Linked DNA regions of Saccharomyces cerevisiae S288C. Changing the gene in region 4 together with the main gene of any one other region gives a genetic interaction. Each region holds a gene or a part of one and is shown on either strand. Other genes may lie near its edges.

Evidence for each region.
Region 1: mutations in SUB1 (region 4) and SLU7 together harm fitness more than expected from each alone (negative genetic interaction), as found in Saccharomyces cerevisiae (2 studies listed by BioGRID).
Region 2: mutations in SUB1 (region 4) and KIN28 are lethal when combined (synthetic lethality), as found in Saccharomyces cerevisiae (2 studies listed by BioGRID, with this or other methods).
Region 3: mutations in SUB1 (region 4) and GIS2 together harm fitness more than expected from each alone (negative genetic interaction), as found in Saccharomyces cerevisiae (3 studies listed by BioGRID).

Annotation. Positions count from the first base shown.
Region 1 is NC_001136.10:617,686-624,095, forward strand, and holds SLU7 (mRNA splicing protein SLU7), read right to left. Parts: upstream 1,961-6,410; coding exon 812-1,960; downstream 1-811. Other genes in the region: RRP1 (Rrp1p), read right to left, coding at 1-621; VTC5 (Vtc5p), read left to right, coding at 4,427-6,410. UniProt on the Saccharomyces cerevisiae protein: Essential protein involved in the second catalytic step of pre-mRNA splicing. Involved in the selection of 3'-type splice sites; this selection could be done via a 3'-splice site-binding factor, PRP16.
Region 2 is NC_001136.10:263,028-269,282, reverse strand, and holds KIN28 (TFIIH complex serine/threonine-protein kinase subunit KIN28), read right to left. Parts: upstream 1,586-6,255; coding exon 1,558-1,585; intron 1,477-1,557; coding exon 584-1,476; downstream 1-583. Other genes in the region: MSS2 (Mss2p), read right to left, coding at 1-362; YDL109C (putative lipase), read left to right, coding at 2,082-4,025; TMA17 (Tma17p), read left to right, coding at 4,319-4,771; exosome non-catalytic core subunit RRP42, read left to right, coding at 5,173-5,970; TRM3 (tRNA (guanosine(18)-2'-O)-methyltransferase), read right to left, coding at 6,058-6,255. UniProt on the Saccharomyces cerevisiae protein: Catalytic component of the TFIIK complex (KIN28-CCL1 dimer) which is the protein kinase component of transcription factor IIH (TFIIH) and phosphorylates the C-terminal domain of RNA polymerase II during transition from transcription to elongation after preinitiation complex (PIC) formation, thereby positively regulating transcription.
Region 3 is NC_001146.8:165,822-171,719, forward strand, and holds GIS2 (mRNA-binding translational activator GIS2), read right to left. Parts: upstream 1,970-5,898; coding exon 1,508-1,969; downstream 1-1,507. Other genes in the region: trifunctional dihydropteroate synthetase/dihydrohydroxymethylpterin pyrophosphokinase/dihydroneopterin aldolase FOL1, read left to right, coding at 1-1,276; RTC4 (Rtc4p), read right to left, coding at 2,222-3,427; TEX1 (Tex1p), read left to right, coding at 4,197-5,465; mitochondrial 54S ribosomal protein mL46 MRPL17, read right to left, coding at 5,620-5,898. UniProt on the Saccharomyces cerevisiae protein: May act in the sexual differentiation pathway.
Region 4 is NC_001145.3:345,093-351,424, forward strand, and holds SUB1 (chromatin-binding transcription coactivator SUB1), read right to left. Parts: upstream 4,431-6,332; coding exon 3,552-4,430; downstream 1-3,551. Other genes in the region: stress-responsive transcriptional activator MSN2, read right to left, coding at 1-1,425; copper chaperone CCS1, read right to left, coding at 2,419-3,168; YET2 (Yet2p), read left to right, coding at 5,289-5,771; D-arabinose 1-dehydrogenase (NAD(P)(+)) ARA2, read right to left, coding at 5,874-6,332. UniProt on the Saccharomyces cerevisiae protein: Plays a role in the release of TFIIB from the transcription complex during transcription initiation. Binds to TFIIB and specifically inhibits the formation of the TBP-TFIIB-promoter complexes.

The DNA.
Region 1 (6,410 bases), on a different chromosome or scaffold from region 4:
CTCTGCAATTTTGCGCATCTCTTCCTCTTTGTTTTCCTCGTCTTCATCGTCTTCATCTCCATCTTTAAGCAATCTTTCCCATTCGTCCAGCAGAATATCGACGATATGAATTGGAATCCCTGTGTAGACCTTTGGACTTCCACTCAGAGGTAACCACCTCAACACTTTCTTAATATACTCGTCGACTAATTTTTTGTCCCAGTTTCTGGACTGCAAATACTTCAATTGACTGAATAATACCCTTCTTATCAATAGAAGATACTTATCCAACCTATATCTGTCAATGTTAAACCATTCAAAGCACATGACCTTCCAAAACCCTCTGCTAAACTTTATAAATGCTTTATCGTTTGTGGTCAACTCATCTGCAGTGCTATTGTCCTTAGGATCAAAATATAATCCATGCAATTCACCTAATTCATTGGCTAAACGTTGCTGAGGTCTAGGACGGTCACTGAACCACATTGCATAGTAAAGACCCTTCCAAAGTTTATTGAATTCTATTTGTTTGTTCTCCTTGAACTGTTTAGCGGTTAGATATTTCTTTAACGCTTCGAGTGCATTTACCCTGGTTTTTCTGTTGTTCGACGATAATTGTTTAACAAAGTTGGAGGTCTCCATTGTGAATGTTCTCACTCGATTTTTTAAGTGTCTATTTAGTGTATTATGCCGTGAATGCGCAAGATATATACGTATACTTAAGAATGTAGTTTATATTTGACAATTTTTTTCAGCTCATCGCATTTTTTTTTCTAAATTCTTTACCTCTCGTGCTCCGTGACTAGGATATTGGAAATTCAAATGATATAACTTAACCATATAAATCTTTTAAGTGGTTCCGTTGTTCCTCAGATTGCTTTGTACCATCTACTTTCCTAGCTTCCAGATCTCCAATGCTGACAATCTTGGGCTGCTTGGTTTCTTCTTGTTCCCGTTTTTTCTTCAGATATTCATATTTAGTAGGATTGGCGACTAAAACATGTTGTACTTTTTCCTTATCCTCAATTTCATCACGTATACCCATTTCCTTAGCGTGAGATCTAGCAAACTGGTTCAATTCGTTTAATTTTAGGCCTTCACCTGTCAAATGTCTGCGGAACATTTTTGATTTTTCATCAACTGCGCCCAGTGTTTCAGTTTTGTACAATCTTGATTTAGGATCATAATTACTCTCCGTTGAATTTATGTCGTTCAAGTAAGCAGCCTTATCTTCTCTCAATCTCGTTGATGTCCTATACAACTGAGAATTATCAGCATCATCTTTCTTCAATGAACCTACGGAATCCTTGTAAAGTTCTAACTTCATTAGTTCTATCTCTTCATCTGTATCCCATAGTGTTTCATCAGTTTGGGATTTGTCTTTTCCTTTTATTTTATTTCTTTTATCACGCTCCCACTTACTTATCAGTTCATTGTATTCTTTCCCTGAGTAACCGTACCATCTATCTTTTCTGGAGTCCCAGTCATCATCAGTAGCTCGTACTAAAACTGTGCCATTATTTTTTTGTGAATTTAAATCGGGAACAAGCTTCTGCATCTTACGAGGTTTTTCCATGCAGTCTTTCTCCTTATGCCCTGCTTCCCCACAATTCCTACAAAATGACAGCGAATGAGAATCTCGGACGGACATCTTCTGGGGTCTGATTAGTTTGAACTCATCCTTTATACCCATACCAATTTTTGGTTCTGAATTATTGTCAATATCTAAAGCACCCCCTTTTGCTTTTTGCCTATGATGCACCAAGTAGTCGCTTTTTTCTCCTCCTTCTGCAGTGCTCGTATCATCATTGCCGGGCTTCTTCCCTTCTTGTTCTTTGGGGGTATCCTTATAGTACCATGGTTGATTTCTAATATACCTGGGGATATGAATATTTTCATTTTTTTCTTTTGCTTGTTGTAGTTGCCTTTTATTTCTGTTAATAGTGCTTCGATTTTCGTTGTTTCTGCTGTTATTATTCATTATGTAATCCGATCGTTGTATTTCAGTGTAACTGGTATCTTTTTCAGAAGTGCTCGATAAATGATATACGCAGACTTGATTATTGATTTACTTGAAAGGCAAGCTATTCAATAGATAACGAAGGAGTTATCGTTATGGGTACTATTATTGTCTTTCCGCGTTCGAACTAGTCACTAGTTGTTCCAATGAAATGTACTTTAAAAAAACTCGACAACTTCTCCAATTAAATTGAAGAGTACGGCAGCTGAGGTTACCAACTCTTTTCTATATTTTAATTGTCACTAGGTATAAAAATCAAAAGTCTAGAAAAATGTATAAAAAATCTTCCCCGCCAGGACTTGAACCTGGAATCTTCTGGTTCGTAGCCAGACGCCGTGACCATTGGGCCACGAGGAACAAGATTTCTTGAAGTTATTGAAATACGGGATTTGCTGATACCAGAATTAATAAATTCAGACCGACTTCTCTTGTGGGGTGGTAATCATCATTTAAAGTGTGGTATCCTGCTTAGCCCGGACAAAGAAGTTATTTTAAAGATTTATTTGCCAATCTTCACAACTGCCCTGTTGTATCTATATATTATTCTGTTGAAACAAAGTTTTAATATAGTCTACTAACTAGTATTCCCGCATTTCTCATATTCCTTTGAAAATACCAACTATCGCTTATTTTACCAGCAGTTAATTAACTAAAACGTTCTCATGGGGATGGACACCAGTTAAAGAATCAATAGAACCTTTTTCAAATCTCCATATGGAGCGGCCTCAATGAGTAGCAACGAGGGAAATAATTACTTGCTTCGGCTGCATTCAGTGATTAGTTAAAAAGTCGTCACCCTAAGTTTTTCTGTCGTATTTTAGGCATTTTCATTTTGAGGAAATATCGTATACCTGGTAATTGCCTATATTTTGAGATGAAGACTGTTTCTCATTTCTTTTTGGTCATCTCCTTGCAGAGCATTTGATAATATAGTAGTAATAATGAATTGTAGTCGATAAATGTTAGTTGATTCTCATTCCTATCGTATCGATAAGGAAACCTGAGAAATACCAAGGTTCAACGATAATGGCAAACATGCTTCATTAATCGGTATTCTTGATCAAATACTTCCTTGCCTGCCATACGGCATCCCTTAATCGCAAAATAGTAATATTCTTTCCAACTATATAACCGTTATTTTAACACACATTTCTCAAGAGACCCCTTTCTAGAAATGGCATGGAGTGGCAAGTATCTTCAAGCTATTTTTTAGTTGTTCATGTACTCCATAGAGTGACGGTTCTTGCAATTTCAACTAGTTTCAAGATAGTCATAAAAATTTGCAACCGAGCCCATTACTATATATATATATATACAAAAAATTTTAACATTAAACCTTGAGCTCGGGTTTTATCTCATACCAAGTATTATCAACCTTTGGCCGGTGTGTTCCTAATATGGTATCGATTTTCAAGTATACCGTGTAACATTTGGTTTTTGAATTATCCAGGGGTATTGCAAGGAATATCGTGGATCCTGCCATATGAAGGCGTGGATCTTAATTTATTCACCTTTACTGATCGTACCAAACGAAGTAAGCGTAGAAAGCTAACCAATTTCCTCTTGTTACAGAGAGAAAACTTTTCTTGTACAGTAAACTGAATATGCTACGTCGTAGACTTACAATGACGCCGCACTTAGGGATAGTAGTTACCTTGCTCACTTTACTGTCGTGATCATTACACCCGTACGTAATCGATGATCATTGCAGGAGAGGGGCACTTTGGTCTGACATCACTTTTTTTACCTAATCAAATAGATTGGCTTTTATTTGACAGATAAGGTTTATGATCTCTTTTTTCGAATGGAAAGTTCCATGCAGGCACCCTTTATCTCATTGTATTTAAACTACATATAGAATGGATGGAAACGTGGCAAGTCATATCAGGACGCTTTGAAGACTGATAATTAAAAACATTAAACAAGTTTCCAGATATCAGGAAGCGACCAAGCCAATATTCAGAACTTTCGTTTCGAAAAACACAGTAATATATTATTCTCAAAAATTACCACACTTTTTTTAGGCAAGGCTGCAAAATAATACCAGAAAAGCAGAGGCGGTTCTTAACTTCTGTGTAAATTCAGTGCAGGAGGACGGGTGTTGTGTTATTAACTTGCAAGGAAAAGAAAGTTTGTGTCTCCCCTTGTTCTACGCTAGCGAAATGGGTGTGTGGAAGAGTCAAAACTGAACCAAGAAAAAAAAAAAAAAAAAAACAAAACAGATAAAAAGATAAACAAAGGCAAGATCAAAAAGCCCTATCGTGAACGCTATCAAAGGACTTTTAAAATTCATAAATTAATAGTTCGTCCGTTGCCCTCTTGAATATAATAGAGATAGAGTTTAATACTTGCTTTTTACCTTTGCTTTTTTTTTGTATATCTCCATCTCAGCCCTAGGTAAGGATAGATACGAAGGGTTGTACAATCATGAAATTTGAAGATCGCATATTGAATAAATCAATCCCTGAATGGAAATTCTACAATATTAACTATGAGAAGTTAAAAGTAGCCATAAAAAAAGTAACGGCTTATGATTATGACAATCCAAATGATTCGGGCATGGAGAAGTTGTTGAATCAATGTTCAGTAGCCTTTGACCAGGAATTTCAAAATGTTAATTTATTTGTTTCTTTGAAAATAAAGGAAATTTCCACTCGTATTCTTTCTGTGGAATCATCAATAATCGATTTTTCAAAGGGCTTAAACAAAACTTCCAGAAACCGTTTCAACCTTCGTAAACTGAAAATCATCAACGCTCATGTAGACGATTGTAACTTTGAACTACAACTACTGTCAAGGTTTTTGATAATACAAAGGATTGCCTTGAGAAAGTTATTCAAAAAATTACTAAATGAATTTCCTCAAGACAGTGAAAATCCATTGACTGCAAGTGAGTATGTTACGTCGATCAGAAACTCTGAAAGTTTACGAAATGGACACGAAGGCATATCATTTATGAAGCTTGATTTAGATCCATATCTTTTAGAAGTTTCGCTAATTGTTGATGTTTTACATGATTTGGAAAATAAACTTGAAGATGCAACTGAGCCAGCAGTGGAGCAAAGATCCCTAAACCGCTCCGATGAATCTGCCCATACAAGTTCAAGTCCAGAAGCCAACAATTCTTCCTTGCCAGCATCTCCAAGGTCAATTCCGCTACTTTCAAACAAGAAAACTTCAAAAATGATTGATTCTTCGCTAGAATTCGATACTGCCCTCATAGATAAAGCAGAGAATCTAGGAAGGTTTTTATTATCGTCCGAGGACATAGAGGGACTGAAGTTCATGCTATTGAATATTGGTTTTAGGATAATTGACGATAGCATCATATCCACTTCAAAGGAGATTTTAGACACTACAGATAATATTAATTCTGCGGGCAACAAATCTATAAGATCAGCAAAGTCATTCAATGACTTACAACATACCTTATCCCTATCTAAACAGAAGAACATATTACCCTCTGCTGTACAATCCAATGAGAAGTACGTTTCTATTAGTATACTAGATACTGTCGGGAACGAAGGCAGTCCTTTACTACTTACTGATGATAATATAAATCAGCACCCAAACATGATAGTCAGCTCTACTGCTGAGGATACTTGTATAGTAATGTGCCACGTGGGCGGCTTAAGAAATCATGTTGTCACAAATGATCTGCTTCTAAGGGATGTAAAGAATATTCTTTCGGCCATGAGGAGTGGCAACGACACAAAAAATATTAGCGCTCTCATAAACTCACTGGATCCATCGCCAATCAGTAAGATCGCTTTGGAGTGGATTCAGTCCCATCGATTAAAAACCATTGAACCAAAGCTAGATTTTAAAAGAACAAGATTCATATCAGCAGACAATGGAGATATATACTTGATAGCTTTGGATGAATCTATCACTATTGGAAATGTATCTACATTACCCTTTCCAATTTTAGAAATTAAAAAGCTTAGTCGATCCAGTGGTCTTTCACAGACGGCTATTAATGAAGACAATAAGTTTAAACAGTTAATGAAATCAGTTGTTACAAATGAGTTTCAATGCAGCTTAATACCACCAGACTTAACCACATGGAAAATATGTTTAGAATTAGTACACTCAAATGAATTGCAAAATGATTTATTTCAACTTTTACTAAGAGATCAATATAAATTAAATTCCGATGATTCGCTATCACCTGATGAATTTTTCCAGCTGGGCAAGGATCGTCTAGAGGAAGAGTTTGACCTGACTGGGCCGATAAACAACTCACAAGGTAGTGTTGACAGCGGCAGAAGAGTTCGAATTCACAAAAAATCAAAGCAATCGGATAATGAAACTAAAAAGAAACCTATTAGGTATTGGAATGAATTTGATGAACAAGAAGAGGATAATTTAGACAATGCTTTTTACATTGATACTAATGGAAGCAGGAGTA
Region 2 (6,255 bases), on a different chromosome or scaffold from region 4:
TTGAAGCTTAGGATGGATATAGCATCGTTGTTGCCAAGTTCGGCAGCAATATTCAATAATTTATCCTCCATAGCTAATAAGTCTTTGTGGACGAATTTGTTCTGCGTCCTTAGAGTTATCAAGACGTTTCGCATCTGCATAATGTCTGAACTCCTTATATAGGGGTATTTCTTCCTCCATGGGATATTCTCTTCATTAGTATTTTGTGATACCTGCAGAAATATCGGGTACATTTCATGGTATGTAAGCCTTGTATCTAACTGGAATAAAATTTTGTTAACCGTACGTTTCTTCGGGAAAATCTCTTGAAACTTTTTGGGTACTGGTGGTGTGGAAACAAACTTACTGACAAACCTCTGCATATTTTAGATCAGATATTTCTTGCTTTTGTTTTCGTTTTCGTCTGCTACTGTTTGTCTCCCCTCATATTGTTGTTGTTAAAATCTAAAAACGAATTCCATAATGATGGAAAAGAGTTAAAATTCAACACCAAAAAACAAGACGCATCAAGAAGTTTATTTGTATATGTTGAGGATACATCTAATGTCAATAACACAGATTCTACAAATTTTATAAAATCATATCAGTTACGTATTTTTATTGAAGACGGGTCACTTGGTGGTGGTAATTCTTTGAAATAATCACTTTCTAAACACTGAACAGCGGTCCACCTCTTTTGTGGGTTCATCGTTAGCATTCCACACATAAAATCTAAGGCGTATTCGCTAGCAGCAATGAACCTTTTCCTCAATTCATCTCTTGAAGGGGGCGGATATATTTGTAACTTGTTATACGTCATAAAGGAAGAAACTTCGGGCCAATCTCTATCTGTAGGTGTCCCTAAGGCCCTGAACGTTACTTCCATTTGATCGACATCATTCTGTCCTGGTAAATAAGGTATCCTTAGCATTAATTCCGCGAATATAACGCCTACTGACCAGATATCAATAGCCGATGTGTAATGTTTAGCTCCAAACAACAATTCTGGCGCTCTATACCATCTTGTTACGACGTTACTTGTCAGTATCTCATGTGGGGCCGGTATCGCCCTTGCTAGACCGAAATCTGCTACTTTTATCTGGCCATCAGGTGAAAATAATAAATTGTTTGGTTTCAGATCCCTGTGCAAAATGAAATTTCTGTGGCAATGATACACGCCCCTCAAAGTCATAAGCATCCATGCCTTAATATCTGCTGGTGTAAACAGTATTGATTTGTCTTTTATTACCACCTCTAGATCAGTTGGTAGGAACTCCAGAACGAGATTTAAATTATCATAAGCCATAAATATGTCTATTAGTTCTATGACGTTCGGATGCTGCATTTCTTGGAGGTACTTAACTTCACGGATAGCTGACATATCTAAACCATCTTTAAATTCGGATGTTTTGATCTCCTTAATAGCAATCTTTCTTCCAGTAGAGTGTTGACAACCCAAGTAAACAACCGCATAAGTACCCTCACCAACTTTCTTTTCTGCGATGAATCATCATTAATCAACGTTAGTATCATTATTGAATGTTAAAAGAAAGACGACAATATATAACCCCCACATACCCTTTGTGTACTCCATATTCACTTTCATATGTTCGCTCTGAGGCCGGGAATATTTTTTTTGATGACTTTTAAGTAACTGTGATTTCACTTGTATTTTTTTTCAATGTGTTTTTTGAATCTACTTGTAATATTCTCTGCACAATGCTTCAAATGAAGCTTCACATCATAACACAAAAAAAATTGTAGGTTCATCCAATGGACGAATCTTTCTTAAGGCTTATGCTTGAAGACCATTTCTATATACCAAAAAATTACAAACTGGCAAGATTGATGTCTTATTGAAACTGAAAATCTTTCAAATTAGAGGGTGATTTTCAATTACAATTGACAACTAAGCCGACTTCCCCTGAAACCGCTTCTGAATTCTTACAAATTTCTCTTGGAGGATTTGTTCAAGGTAGTGTGGTATGTTTTTAGCGTATTAACAGCAAGCGTTGTGTCTGCAAACAAAGAGAAAAAATATCAGTACAAAAAATGCTCACCTGACCTTATTCACCCAAAAACATCGGGGAAACGGTAGTAATATGGAAGCTGGCAGGAGTGCTGATGAAGTGCTATACCACAATCAGTCGTCAGTAAAGTTAGGTGAGTTAGAAAGATACGTTATTACATATGAGCTATACCAGGGTGATAGTATTCCCGCTGATATCACACTGGATTCCCTATGGGTAAAGATCAAAAATACCACAAAGCTATCCTATAAACCAGCCTATCTATTGGGCCCATTTATCTTATATTGTGACGTGCGAGCAAAAGATTACGAAAGCTCGTATAAGATCATATGTTCGGCGGATAAACCAGTATTTCAATCAAACCTACAGGCACAACAAAAGTTTATTGCAGAGTTGTCCTTGCACCACATTAAGCCACGCTATGTATGGATAGTGGATATTGTCAGTCAAATACTATTTAATAAAGAAACTAAGGTAACTTTTGAGATAGTAGTCGGCAATTCAAAGGCCTCTTTGAAAAGAAAAATACGATGTAATGATTCATTGCCTGATAAAGCCTGCAATATTTTACACACAGGATTATCGGTGCATAGACTTACCACCGCAGATATATGGAAAGTACCACGACCCATAGACATGTCGCAAAAATCCCATTTAGTCATTCTCACGCATGGTTTTCAATCAAACGTTTCGGCAGATATGGAATACTTAATGGAAGAAATATACAAGGCTCAAATGAACAATCCAAATGAGCGACTAGTTATTAAGGGATATATGAAGAATGCTTGTGAGACTGAGAAGGGTATTAAGTTTTTGGGTGTTGGATTGGCAAACTACATCATCGACGAGTTATATGATGACTCTGTTGGGAAAATTTCATTTATTGGTCATTCCCTGGGTGGATTAACACAAACTTTTGCTATTTGTTACATAAAGACCAAATATCCATATTTCTTTAAGAAAGTGGAGCCAATCAATTTTATCTCACTGGCGTCACCATTGCTAGGCATTGCTACCAGCACGCCCAATTACGTAAAAATGTCATTGTCGATGGGTATCATTGGTACTACGGGGCAAGAACTGGGTCTTAAGGATGGAAATTATGGTGATAAGCCCCTACTTTACCTGCTATCCGAGGAATCCTTAATCAGTGTGCTTGCTCGATTCAAAAGAAGAACACTTTATGCTAATGCCGTCAACGACGGAATAGTTCCCTTGTACTCCTCTTCTTTACTTTTTTTGGACTACTCTCAATTACTTCAGAAACTGGGAGGTCAAACTACGGCACCTTGTGATCCTCTCTTCCAGCCTGAAGTAAGTCCTATTGGGGAACTTCCAAATCATAGCGATGTTGCTAATGATGATGATGGAATCAATGCATCGTCATGGAACACGTTTTGGAAGAGCAAGGAAAATAACTGCGACAAGAAATCTAAACGCTTGATGAATGCTTCCGTCATCAAATCTATGAAGTCTGTGCTTCTATCACCATGCCCCGACGCAAAGTTCTTCTCAGATCCCGATGCAAGGGTCGCAACAATCATACATGATAAGATCTACACAGAAAAGAATTTACCGCCTCCATCACCAACACTTTATGAAGGAACAGCAGCCAAGGAAGGCGAAACGAGGAAGACGAGAAAAGAGATGGAGGAAATCATAGCACGCCGCTGGCACAAGGGGATGCATTGGAGGAAAGTCGTGGTATTGCTGAAACCAGATGCCCACAATAACATCATCGTAAGAAGAAGGTTTTCCAACGCTTACGGCTGGCCGGTGGTTGACCACCTTGTTACCGCCCATTTCCAAAGAGATGACCCAATCGCCTCACCAATGCAAGATAAACAGTTTGCTGAGGAAGATATAAACATGGCAACCGGAGGGGTGGAACCAAACAAGTTCTACTCATGGCTCACCAAGATCGAGGATCCTAGTGTGTACCATGGTGGAATAGTCTCCACAGCTAGCCAGCTCGCCAGCTCCTGGATTAGCAAGCATTCCTCTGTGACAGATTGACTGTCTATCTTGACGTCATCCCGGGATTGACTTGCAATTTACTATTGTCCACACCTACGAAAGTCCATTTTACTTCGTAGTTCGATAAATGCGCTTACGGGTCTTTTTCGAGCGGGACAACTCTTCAGCTCCTCCCCTAAAACCGAGGCCGAATATCCCTTCTCCATATAAATAAGACACTTTTCACCAGGAAAACAATACTTCAGAAGCTTATTTCTCTTGACAAAAAGAGGGGTAAGATCTTTATAAAACATAAAGCAAATCAAAACATAATAACTACTACAAGTAACATAATGTGCTCAGCAGGCGGTATCAGAAGACCAATCCAGATCGAAGAATTTAAGACGGCGATAAGCGGCATGTCCGACATGGAGTTGGCACAGATTAAAACAGAAATTGAGAACAGTATCAATCATTTGCAGAGGTCTAACGCCCGCTTGGGTAAATACATAGCTAAGTTGGAGGGTGCTGACGACCGTCTTGAAGCTGACGACAGCGACGACTTGGAGAACATTGATTCGGGAGACCTGGCGCTGTACAAGGACTCTGTCAGGGAGAACGAAATTGTGCTAAACAATTACAATGAGAGAGTGGACGCATTGGAGCAAGAAACGGTATATAGAAAGACGGGCCATGGCAAGAGTAAGCACGAGGTAGAGGCAAAGGACAACACCAACAAGGGCCCTGACGTTGACATGGACAATTCAAATGTGGACGTCGTGACACCAAACAGCATATTCATTTAAGAGACGGGATTTAGTTTTACTGCGCATCATTTTCACGTCATACTCTTTGTCTCTCTGTTCTATCTCTTCGTATAAATATTTCAATAACTCCATTTGTCTATTCTATCTACCCGTTCTATCCTTACTACTAGATATCTTAAAGAAATAATAAAATAAGTAAATACAAAAAAAACTCGCTATTAATAATTTATCTCCGAAAGCCCTAGGGTGTGCTTTTCTTCCGTGCCCTAGTCTATTATTTTGAACCCTAGTTGGCGAAATTTTTTTCTAATATTCAGAAAAAAGAAACGTAGAGCTTATATGGTGAAGGAGTACAATGATACTAATAGTCTGTAGACGGCAAAAGGCATTCTTTTTGACTAGCACAACGACAGTTTGAGATTCTGTTGAAATAATCATTTATGTCTCTTTCGGTCGCCGAAAAGTCGTACCTATACGATTCACTAGCAAGCACGCCTTCAATTAGGCCCGATGGAAGACTACCTCATCAATTCAGACCTATAGAAATATTTACTGACTTCCTACCAAGTTCCAATGGATCGTCCAGAATTATAGCTAGTGATGGAAGTGAATGTATCGTGAGCATTAAGTCCAAAGTTGTGGATCATCATGTGGAGAATGAACTACTTCAGGTCGATGTAGATATCGCAGGCCAAAGAGATGACGCGCTGGTAGTAGAGACAATCACTTCTTTACTGAACAAGGTTTTGAAGTCTGGTAGCGGAGTAGATTCCTCAAAGTTGCAATTGACAAAAAAGTACAGCTTCAAAATATTTGTCGATGTTCTGGTCATTTCATCACATTCACACCCAGTTTCTTTAATATCCTTTGCTATTTATTCAGCGTTGAACTCCACATACCTACCGAAACTTATTTCAGCTTTTGACGACTTAGAGGTGGAAGAACTTCCTACGTTTCATGATTACGACATGGTTAAGCTTGACATTAATCCGCCTTTAGTGTTTATATTGGCCGTTGTAGGCAACAATATGCTATTGGACCCTGCAGCCAACGAAAGCGAAGTGGCCAATAATGGCCTAATCATTTCCTGGTCTAATGGTAAGATTACATCACCTATCAGATCAGTAGCATTGAATGATTCAAACGTTAAAAGCTTTAAACCTCATTTGTTGAAGCAAGGTCTTGCAATGGTGGAGAAATACGCCCCCGACGTAGTACGATCACTGGAGAATTTATAAAAATATAGTCACAATTAGATAAAAAGACAAATTAGTTTACATACTAAAAACTTCATGGTTAACAAAAGTGGGAATGAAACCTGATTCTTACATGTGTTGAACTGTATAGGAATGAACGATAACTGCGGTTGCCGTTTGAATATTCATTGATCTGATCACACCAAATTGTTGAATCTCTAAACATAAATCCAATTCGCTTAACAAAGTCCCCGGAATACCGAATGCTTCGGTTCCTAGCAAGATCAATGATTTTTTAGGGAATTGGAAATTGTTGTCTAGCTTCAC
Region 3 (5,898 bases), on a different chromosome or scaffold from region 4:
TAGCGCCGGAGAAGATATTATAGTAAATGAACCGGATTTGAATATACCGCATCCTAGAATGCTGGAGAGGACTTTCGTTCTTGAGCCGTTATGTGAATTAATATCCCCCGTTCACCTTCATCCTGTGACAGCGGAACCCATTGTAGACCATTTAAAACAGTTATACGACAAACAGCATGATGAAGATACCTTATGGAAATTAGTTCCATTGCCTTATCGTAGTGGTGTGGAGCCTAGATTTTTGAAATTCAAGACCGCTACAAAACTTGACGAATTTACTGGAGAAACAAACAGAATTACTGTTTCACCTACATATATCATGGCTATCTTCAACGCTACACCAGATTCATTTTCCGATGGAGGTGAGCATTTTGCGGACATTGAAAGTCAATTGAATGATATCATTAAATTGTGTAAAGACGCATTATATTTGCATGAGAGCGTCATCATCGACGTTGGAGGGTGTTCTACCAGGCCTAACTCTATTCAGGCGTCTGAGGAAGAAGAAATACGCAGGTCTATCCCATTAATTAAGGCCATTAGAGAAAGCACTGAGTTACCGCAAGATAAAGTCATACTATCCATTGATACTTATCGTTCCAATGTCGCTAAAGAAGCGATTAAAGTTGGAGTGGATATTATTAATGATATTTCGGGAGGTTTATTTGACAGCAACATGTTTGCCGTAATTGCAGAGAACCCAGAAATTTGTTATATTTTATCACACACACGTGGTGATATTTCAACGATGAATAGGCTGGCGCATTACGAAAATTTTGCATTGGGTGATTCTATTCAGCAAGAATTTGTTCATAATACCGACATTCAGCAGCTAGACGACTTGAAAGACAAAACAGTGTTAATCAGGAATGTTGGTCAAGAAATTGGCGAAAGGTATATCAAAGCGATTGATAATGGAGTAAAGCGCTGGCAAATTCTAATCGACCCTGGACTTGGTTTTGCTAAGACCTGGAAGCAAAACTTACAAATTATTAGACATATCCCCATTTTAAAGAACTACTCATTCACCATGAACTCAAACAATTCGCAAGTGTATGTTAACCTCAGAAATATGCCCGTTTTATTGGGTCCATCGCGCAAAAAATTCATTGGACATATCACAAAAGATGTGGATGCGAAGCAAAGAGACTTTGCTACTGGAGCGGTGGTAGCGTCGTGTATTGGTTTCGGCAGCGACATGGTTAGGGTCCATGACGTTAAAAATTGTTCGAAGAGCATTAAATTAGCAGATGCTATTTATAAAGGTTTGGAATAAAGGTTAGTTATATAGATTAAATATGTAATTCTGTTTTGTAATAATTTTTTTTCCTGTTTCATAATAAAGAATCGTTAAAAATAACCAAGGGAGGAAACAAGTGAAATGAAGTATAGAAAAGATATAGAAAATAAACTTAAATATTCAGTTTACTTGTGCTTCTTTTTTCCCCTCTATGAAATATAGCATGATAAGTGATTGTTCCTTTGTTTTTTTCAGTGGATGTTTCACCTAAGCCTTTGGACAATCCTTGGAAATATGGCCAGTTTCGTTACAGTTGTAACAAAGCCTGTCATTTTGACAGTCCCTGGACATGTGGCCAGCTTGACCACAAGTGTAACATTTCAATCCACTAATTCCGTCCTCTTTCATACAGTCCTTAGCCATATGGTTTGGACCACCACATTTATAACATGAAACTTTGGAGAATCTGCTGGTCTTCTTTGGTTCAGGGCATTCTCTGGAGATGTGGCCGGTTTGGTTACAGTTGAAACAACGTTGCACAGTACATTCACTTCTAACGTGACCGGTTTCACCACAATTGTAACATTGCTTGAATTCAACTGTTCTTGGCATGGTACAATCCGTTTGAACGTGACCGGGTTTGTTACAGTTGTAACATAGTCTTTCAGAATCACAGTCTTCTGCCAAATGGCCAATCTTACCGCAAACGTAACAAGCTTTTTGAGACATCTTTTTCGTATTCTTTTCTTTTTTCCTGATTTCTGAAGGGAAAGCCTTAAAATAATACAATCCTCAAGTGCCCCCAAAGCAGAAAGAGCATTTCTAATCCATCGATGACCTTATTACAACTCTTGCCAAAAGAGAAAAGGAACGAAAAGAAAATTTTTTCAGCATTTCGTCTATCATGACACCACAGCAGTTCTTACTATAAAGCTCAAATCCCTAAGCCATAAAGGCAACAAACGGCAATATACTACCTGTTTAATCGTGCGTATCCAGTCGCCATCTCCTGCTGGAATAGTTATGAACATCGAGTTTCAGTTCCCGCAGACGGTCTTCCTCTATGGCAGCTTCCCATTGCTCAATTGGATCAGAGTCGGCTACTATGATACCGTATTCAACTGTATCCTCGAGTAAGTCATAGGCTAGCATCCTTAATTCGGGATCGTAGTAATATTCCTTCTCGTTTAATTGTTGCTTTGGATGTTTATTCGGTGTCTTCGACGAGCAAGATTTATTCGAGAGATTTAATTGGTAAATACAAAAAGACGTAAGGGTTTCTGGAGCCAAAACGTAGTTACAGAAATCTGTTATCCCCCACCATTTTAAGGTTGCGGGCTGATTGTGCGTGAGTGCCCTTTTATATCTCTTAGCGATTTCTTCGCCAACCCTCAATTGCCTTTTCAGGCCGTAAAATCCAGCAGTAAATTTGTTTAAATTCAACTTTCTAAACTCATCTACGGACAAGTAAGCCTTTTGTGAGTTTTTGAATGCATTTTTTGCTTCAAAATAGTATACAGACGATATCTTTCCCTCCAATATGTCCATTACAATGGGCATGAAGGGTTCTACTTCAGTGAGTAGCTCATCCGAAAACAACATGGGTGGTAGTTTGAACTTGCTCATGTATTCTTCCCTTACTTGAAGTTTTTTGATTATCTGCTCTTTAGAACTCAAACAACTTTGTAACGATAGCTTTTTATCCTCGGGAAATGAAGAGGAGAAGATTTGGTTATCTTCAACTGCCGATAGTTCTGCCTCCAAGAGTAATTTTTTACCGTCTAAAAGATTATTGTTCCTGCATTTGATAGACTCGATATCTTCATTTTTCAAATTCTGTATTAGTGGGATAGAAACGACCTTCTCTTCTTCTTTTTCTTTTCCTCTGAGTGCTGCATTCTTTGCGGCTTGTACTTCTGAATTTGGAAATGACCTCGAAAGTTTATCAAATGTGGCCACAGTGGAAAGCTTTTTTACTTCAATCTCATCTTCTGTGATACTGTCTATTTTGCCGCGCTTTTTTGAGGGGGAAAAGGCATCATGGCCTGATAAGTCGTCACTTTCTCTATCATGTATGTCATGTTTTCCTTGTCTTTTCATTAACAGTAAGTTATCACCACTTCCCTTTTTTGTGGAATAAACACCTTTTCTCCTCACTCGATTAATTCCCAGACCAGGCCCAACCATCTCTGTCTACGCAGGTCAAAAATTTGTGCTAAGGTCTCGAGAGCACATACAGTACCCTTTTAATGTGATCTCATCGCTACATTTTTCAAAGCTTCCCATTTTAGCGACGCCATCTATATATAGGAAAAAAAAAAAGTTTAGGACGCTATTTACCACAACAATTGAGATGCAGCACAAATAGGAGTATCATTGCCTCCCAATTTTCAAGGGAGTTTTCAGAGAATTACTATTCCATACCTATTCAATTACTGGAGTTGTCTTCAGTATCATAAAGGGTTTTGGATTTTCAATCGAATTGCCATTTTTTTCCTGCTTACGTTCGATAGATAGCCAAATGCAGTTTATATATATGTATGTAGACTTGAAGGTATATTAACAGTGCCCATGTTTCTTTGGAAAGTGTCAAATATCGCAAAGCATAACCTTGAAGGTTAACATTATTTTCTAGAAATACACCTTTCCCACTGGATATGATGACGGAAGAAACAAAACGTTAAATTATTGTACCGTTGTATAAAACAGTAACCGAGCATGGACAATTCATTTTTACACCCCAACGACGCCACTAACCATGTATAGGTGTCTTGCCTAACTTATCATTATTCATAGTAGAATTAAGAAAATTAAAAGCCTTGCACCACAGGTTACGTACATAAGATATTATGTTAAATATATATCTCTTCAGTATTTCTACGTACAAAGCTTCACTCATTGAGGTTTGATTGGTGTACAGCTACATACATAAAAAGGATCAAGTGAACTATTCGGCATGTCGACAATTGGAGCTGTTGATATTCTTAATCAAAAGACCATAACTTCTGAAGTGGCTGCCTCAGTGACTTCAAAATATCTACAAAGTACGTTTTCTAAAGGTAATACAAGTCATATCGAAGATAAAAGGTTCATTCATGTCAGTTCGCGTTCTCATTCAAGATTCACCTCGACTCCCATAACTCCAAATGAAATTCTTTCCCTAAAATTTCACGTATCAGGTTCATCGATGGCGTATAGTAGAATGGATGGGTCATTGACCGTTTGGTTTATTAAAGATGCAAGTTTTGACAAATCTGTAGAAGTTTATATTCCAGACTGTTGTGGTTCCGATAAATTGGCTACTGATTTGTCCTGGAACCCTACTTCTTTAAATCAAATAGCTGTCGTGAGCAATTCATCAGAGATATCCTTACTCTTAATCAACGAAAAATCGCTAACGGCATCCAAATTAAGGACCTTGTCATTGGGAAGCAAGACTAAGGTCAACACATGTCTTTATGATCCATTAGGAAACTGGTTATTAGCTGCCACCAAATCTGAGAAAATCTACTTGTTTGATGTGAAAAAGGATCACAGCTCTGTCTGTTCTTTGAACATCAGCGATATAAGCCAAGAGGATAATGACGTTGTGTATTCCTTAGCATGGAGCAATGGTGGAAGTCATATATTTATTGGCTTTAAGAGTGGTTATTTGGCCATTTTAAAAGCAAAACATGGCATATTGGAGGTTTGTACCAAAATTAAAGCACATACTGGTCCTATAACCGAGATCAAAATGGACCCATGGGGAAGAAACTTCATTACTGGGAGTATCGATGGGAATTGCTACGTATGGAATATGAAGTCACTATGTTGTGAATTAATAATTAACGATTTGAACTCTGCGGTAACAACACTAGACGTCTGTCATTTGGGTAAAATACTAGGAATTTGTACAGAAGATGAAATGGTATATTTCTATGATCTTAATAGTGGTAATTTACTCCACTCTAAATCTTTAGCCAATTACAAAACCGATCCCGTTTTGAAGTTTTATCCTGATAAATCATGGTATATCATGTCAGGCAAGAATGACACACTATCAAATCATTTTGTTAAAAACGAAAAAAATCTAATAACTTATTGGAAAGACATGTTCGATAACACGATGATTGAAAAACGTAGGAAAAACAACGGTGGAGGCAACAACCACAATAAAAGGACGAGTAAGAATACTGATAGGATTGGCAAGGATAGGCCGAGTAGATTCAACTCAAAAAAATAAGTTACCTGATGGAAGGAATGCGGTAGAAAATGCACATTCTTTTTCTTTCATTTAATGATATTTACATGTGATTGACGACAACCTAATATATAAATATATATGCACGCATATATTTTGTATATGTAACGTTAAAAACGCATCTGTTTTTGTGATTTCAATTATCCGCTAAAAGAAATTCTGTTTTGTTAAAGTAATCTTTTGGTACATATTCACTGATCTCACCTTTTGTCAGCCAAGCAAAATCCTCGAATGCATCATTTTTCGACGCCACCAAATCAAATTTTCCAGCCAAAATGTGTGACTTCACAATAAACTCAGCAGTCCTATTTCTCTCGTCCTGCAAAACACCTATGGGCGTAGCAGAAACAGACCAAGTGTATATCTGATCACCGCTCAACAATTTCAATTCGTTCTCTGCGTGTACGTGTAACGG
Region 4 (6,332 bases):
CATATCGTTCTTGGGGTCTTCATCCTGCTTATTAACCAGGTCGTAGCTTAGTGAATCATCGATTATGGGTAAAGAAGCTCTTTGCCTTCTTGAATAAAGATCGCTGTTGAAGGATTTCATGTTAGTGCTACTGTTATTATGTGACGAGGTGAGCTGCTTGTGTTGAACTCGGTTTAGCTGTTGCTGTAATTGCTGACTTGGATTTATCTTTGTCATAGCATTGGCATCAAAAGAACTTGGGCAAGCAGATTTGTTCTTGCCAGAAGTGGATGTGCCCAAATTATCGTTGAAGTTCATATTATATTCGTTAAGAATCTGTGTCAACTCATTGTCTATGGTAGCGTCATTGTTTTTCGGGTTGCCAGCAATATTTGAGTCTGCATTTGCGTTCATAGTAGTGGTATTCGGACTTGCATTGGAACTTGAGGTAGAATTAGTAGTGATATTGAGATTTGTATTTCTATTGCTTGGATTAATTTTCGGATGGTTCCAAAGGTCCAAAGAGTGAGAAATAGAATTCCTCGAATTTGTCATTGACGGAAATTGGTTTGTTATAACGTCGCTAAATCTTCGGCGTGATAAATTAGTGTCATCATCATCATCATTCAATAAGAGATCACTAGAAACGTAATCATCTAGCATGGAGTCTATGTTCAGTGAATTAAAATAACTGGAATTTAAATTACCCGTAGAATTGGAGTTTGAATTAGAAATGGAGTTAGAATATGAATTTGTATCTGAGTTCAATTGATTTCTTAGTTTTTCGTTCAAATTGTTTGGGTTAGTGTCAATGAAAAGATTCGAATTAGCACCATTAGGTAAGGACAGACGATTATCTTTAATGGACGTATGTTGTTGGGCTCGAGGAGATATAAGAGTTTCATTACCATTTGAAGTTTGAGGCGATAAATTAGTTTCGTTACTTGCTGTATTTATGGGAGGATTTATAGTCGGATTTTGAGGTACCGATGAAGGTGACGGTGATTGTAACGGATTGTTCATGTTGTACAAAATGTCGTTCATAGGATAAGGTGAAGTAAGAGTTGTGTATTGATTTGCCCCAGAGCCACTAGCATTATTAGTACTCTTAATTTCACTATCATTTTCAATAGTTCTTGCATCGCGATTTTTGTTGCTATCAGCTTTCAAATGCAAGCTGTTATCGGTAGTGGATGGTATCGTTTCCGTTACGGGCAGTGGAGAGTCGAAAGATAGTGGAGGAAGCCCCAAATTCAGTGAAGTTTCTTGATTTTGAATGTCATTGAGATCCGCACTATCTAAGACAGTGTTTTTGATATCTAGAGAATACGGGATAACATCGTTGTTAATATTATTTGGGTTATTATTCTCCACGTATTGTATACTACTCATGCTTTCTATGGGGAATAAAATATCTTCGCTATTGAAATCATGGTCGACCGTCATTTTAGATCTAGTTCTTCTATGAGCAATAAAAGTTGAAAAAAGAAAGAAAAAATAAAGCAAATAAAACCAAAGAAAAAAAGGTAGCCTCTTGGCGTATGAAATACCTTGCTACTACTGTTGTGATCTTCCCGAAAAATATGAGGAAGATACCGATAAAGTAAGGAAGAAAAAAGCAATATCTTTTTTTTTTTGAACTTTTCGTATTACAGACTAGTTTCTGTTATCTCCAAGGTTTCCGTCTGTTTTATTTTCGTGTAACACAGTTTCTAACTGGGAAGTCTTGTTGAGCTCGTGCTGCTTTCTTACTATTACCAAACAGGAAGGCAAAAAAAGGGAACACGGTTTACGCGATAAAAGTAAAAGGGCCAAGTCTGACTGGTGCTGATATCAGGCAACAAACACCACTTTGTTCTGCTATTTGTCTTTATTACCTGTCTCTTTCGCTGGAAACAACAAATATAAATAAGTAAGTGTCAATACTATATGTTGTCTGTAGAGGGGAAATTGTATATATTTTCGGTGTCTTGTTTTTCTTTTCCGCAGTTTGTTTTTCCCATTCTGATTTTCTGAAATTCGTAAAAAGGTGTTTTTTTCGTATAAATGGCTCTCTTTAATTTATTAGAGACAAAAAGAGCCGATATGTATGACGTAGACAGATGGTGTCAAGAACCGGCTTGGCTGCTACGGAATGCGTAGCTGAACGCCGTGGTTTCCGGAGAAAGACGAAAGATCAACTCCGGCCGTCTGGCCAGGAACGATAGGTGCTGGAGATAAGTGAGGTACGGATACCAAGAGCGAAATACCTCTTTAGGTACGTTCCGGGCCGTTGTTGCCGGCGAAACCGGAGGGACAAGGCAATATGAAGTAGGATTGGAAACCGGCTTTGGCATATTGCCACATGCGTATGTACATGTCCGGCATCACGTGGTTATGATGTAGTATACTATATTATGTTATATCTGTATTACGCTACGTTGTGCTATCTTGGATGTTCTATTTGATGTTGTTGGCCAAGGCATCTTTTCTCTCTTCCCAAACAGTCTTTCCGGTACACGCACACACTTGTTTATTATTTTCCCACACACCAGCGCTTCTCGCAATGACTCCCAGAAATGAGTAGTCCTTAACGGAGGAAGGCTCGTTTTCTGGGTGGTTCAGAGACTTGGAAATGACAAAGCTGCGGCCGATAAGTTGCCATGTTGGCAAGGGAGCGCTCAGAAAGGTCTTCCCACTGTACAAGTTCTTGCCCAAATCACTCTCGTTGAAGCATTCAATGGGTTCGTCGAACTTGTGCCAAACTTTACCAGTAGATTCCACGCCCTTGGAGACGTCGCCTTTCTCGTGAATGCTGGCGTGGTAATTTCCCGCCTCTGGGACGCCATTTACAGTGATGTCAAAAAGAGTCTTATTCTCTCCAACCTGAACGATTCTTGCTAGGCCCCTCACGGCGGTGTCCTTTTTCTGGTCTATAGTATATTTTTGAAAGGTCTCTAAGATAGCGACCGCGGAAGAATTCGGCTTCCCGGCGCCTCTTATGATGGCGTCTTTACCACAGTTTCGCAAGGTGTTGATGATGGTTGAAGGGGCTACTGAGCTTTCCACGCTCATTATTTGTTGCTCTATATCGAAATTCAATGAATTGATTCCTGGGACATTTTTTAGGCATGCCTTTATATCATTCACGCAATTTTCACAGTGCATGGGAATGGCATAAGTAGCCTCGTATGTATCGTTCGTGGTCATTTTTGTGCTGATCGAATGGGTTTCTGCCTTGCAAAGATATCTTTATTCTTTTCTTAGTCTAAATTTTTTTTTTTTGGCTTGCCTTTAATATATTATTTTTCCGAACAATGAATTTTTACCCTCTTCCATTCTCACTGTGTACTAGTTGTACGGGGAAAATGCTTAGTAAGCGCAAATTTTTTTTTGATAGTATATTATACTGAAATGTACAAGATTAACTTTTGTCTGGTTATTATAAATCACATATTTGATTATATGAATTGTTAAAATGAATTTGACAAACAGAAAAGTATATATTTTTATTTCTTTTTTTTTTTTTTTATTCTCTAATAAGCTCGTTGGATGGAAGACGTTGACATAAGCAAGCTCAACTTCCAGGACTATTATTCTTCTTCACTTATGTCGTCTTCAGCCTTGTTCATTTCAGCTTCCAAGCTTTGAGCAAATTCTTCGTCACTAGAATTTGCATCTTTTGACTCGTTTATGTTGGAGACAATATCTTCTTTTTTAGCTTGAAGTGTGGGTACAGGTTCAGGTTCAGGTTCAGCTATCTTTTCTTTTGCCTTTGCCTCTTTCTCTTGTTCTGCAACTGCTTTTGCCTTTGCCTCCTCTGCCTCTTCTTTTTCCTTTTGCTTGCGTTCCTCTTGTTGTTTCCTACCTGCCTGGCCTGGGATGATCAAAGTAGCATTGGCTTCTCTTTCAGCGTTTTGAATGTTTTCCTCGTGTGGAAGTAGAGTAGGTGGAGCAGGTTTCTTCTTCTTTGAACGTGGCTCCAAGTCATGACTCTCATTAGATGCTTTGGACTTATCTTCTCTCCTCTTCTTTGGGCTGTTCTTGTCCTTCCCGTTTTTATCCTTGTCGTTATTAGTACTGTCATTATTGTTATCATCTTCATATTCGTCGTCGGACAATAGTCTAACCATTTTGGTTTTTGGTCTCTTGGATCCTAGCCTTCTCAAGGCTTCATCAATATTCAATCTGTGCTTAAGCAATTCGTCGTATAGATCTTCTGTCAACGAAATACCTTTCTTCCCAGGTTTCATTTCGCCTGTAGATGAGTCCAGATAGTACTCACGGATATCAATTAAATTTATGTTTCTAAATTGTCTTACCGTGACCCTCTTATTTTTACCCAGATCAAAAATTGCATCTGATGCGGATAGTCCAGATGGCATACCACCATTGTTATTGTTACTGTTACTTAAGTTTCCTCCACCATTATCGCTTCTTCTTTTGTTCCTATACCTGTTGTAATATGACATAGCGCTTGTGTTTGTATATATGTCGAAAAATTGATGTGTACGGAAAGATTTAATATTAAATAGCTTTCTTAAGTGGGCAACCAAAAGTGTTTCTTTGATTGGGGACTTTTACAAAATTCACGTTTACAACCTCTTCTCTTGTCTTCCTATCGTTCCCTGGATCAAATTAAGAATTTTCATCAAGAATAGAGAGCAGAAGGCAAGCCAAGAGAGAAAAAGAAAGAGAGAAAGAAAGAAAGGAGAGGAAGAGGAGATGAAAAGAGAGGAAAACTTGAGTTTTGATAAAGAAATTTGAGGAAGGTAAAAGTAAAATTCCCATTCAAATGAATGTATTAATAAATTCTCATCATTAAAAGGAGGGAAAAATTACGTATAACGTAAAGATAAAACGTGTGTGTGTGCAGTGCTATACTCATTGTCCTTGTTAGTGATGATAATTCGTCCCAGCTGAAAAAACTCAAAATAAGTATTACCCGGATCGAGGCTGTGGCATTTAGCGCCGCTGTCTTGACCATCCACCAATGGTTGATAATAACATCGGATGATCAGCCCATTTTTGGTGTATTACTATCCCATCTCATTCTTCCAAAAAACACGTATATATCATTGACGAGATCGAGATACGTCTGCTGTGTTTAACGGCTAACTTGGTTGTGTAGGCTTGTGTCAATTAGGCAAAATGGTTTTCTTGGAAAAAAGACAAGGGAAAAAAAAGGGTTGATAGAGCAATATATGTACAGCTGGCCTTCTCTGAGAAAAGCTAGCCGCCTGGAAGTAAATAAATACGCTGAGTGTTCGTTGGAGCATGAATTATGTGAATAGAAAAATACTAAGCAAAATTTCAAAGTCGAGTTAGTGATGGGTGTTTATTTGGCAGTACTCTTTTCGTTACTGGTCATCGAAATGGCCATTCTGTTTATTTTGGTACTTCCGCTTCCACAGCGTATGAGAAGGTGGCTGTATATACGCTACAGTATCATAAGTACTAATAAGAAATTCAGAACTTATATGGTTGGAATCATGATCTTCGTTGGTCTTTTGTTCATCGATTCATGGAAAAGGTCACAGATCAGAGTGTCTACGTACCGCAACCAGAAAAATCCCTATATAATAAATAGTGTAACCCCAGTGGATGCACTGGCTTCAAGGGCATATAACCAAAGGAATGTTTACATTTCAGGCTTCATCATCTACTTTTATATATGTATACTCACCGTGATGAGTATATTGCGAAGAATAGTGGAATGGAATGACAAAATGAAGGCTGGAGATGACATTCTGAAGGAAAAGTTAAGACGAAAGCAAAAATATTTAGAGGAATTGCAGAAGAAGAAATTTTAAAAGGAAAAAACTAAAAAAGAAGAAAAGGAAAAACTTACATATGTAAATAGAACAAATGAATATAAACTAAAATTTGACAAATTTTTTTTCTTTTTGGGGTGATTATATCATTTCTGGATGAGGAATACCTGAAGACCACTCTTCATTAAAATGTTCTTTAAAAATATTCTTTTGGATATATTCTACTAGTTGTCCGTCCTTAGAAGATAATCTGTTGCCATTCGATTTCACAATTTCGTAATTATCCAGAGCAAGTTTCAATTCTTCCATGCTACTGACTCCAAGAACAACGGGTCCCTTTCCTACCCATTCCGAAATCGCGTATCTTGTGGCCAAATCGGCTAAGTCGACATTTTGTTCTTGACAGTATTTGGCAGCCTGAGATGCGCATTCTCTCAATTCATGAGAACACGGGTGAAACTGTCTTGTCTCCTGTGACCTTAGTAGCGACATGCTCAAGATTGATGCGTTGCAAACCATTTTCAGTTTAGCATTGCGTAGCAGTCTTTCTCGAAAGTTCAATAGCTTATTGTTTTGTAAGTTCAAGTTACAATAGGACAA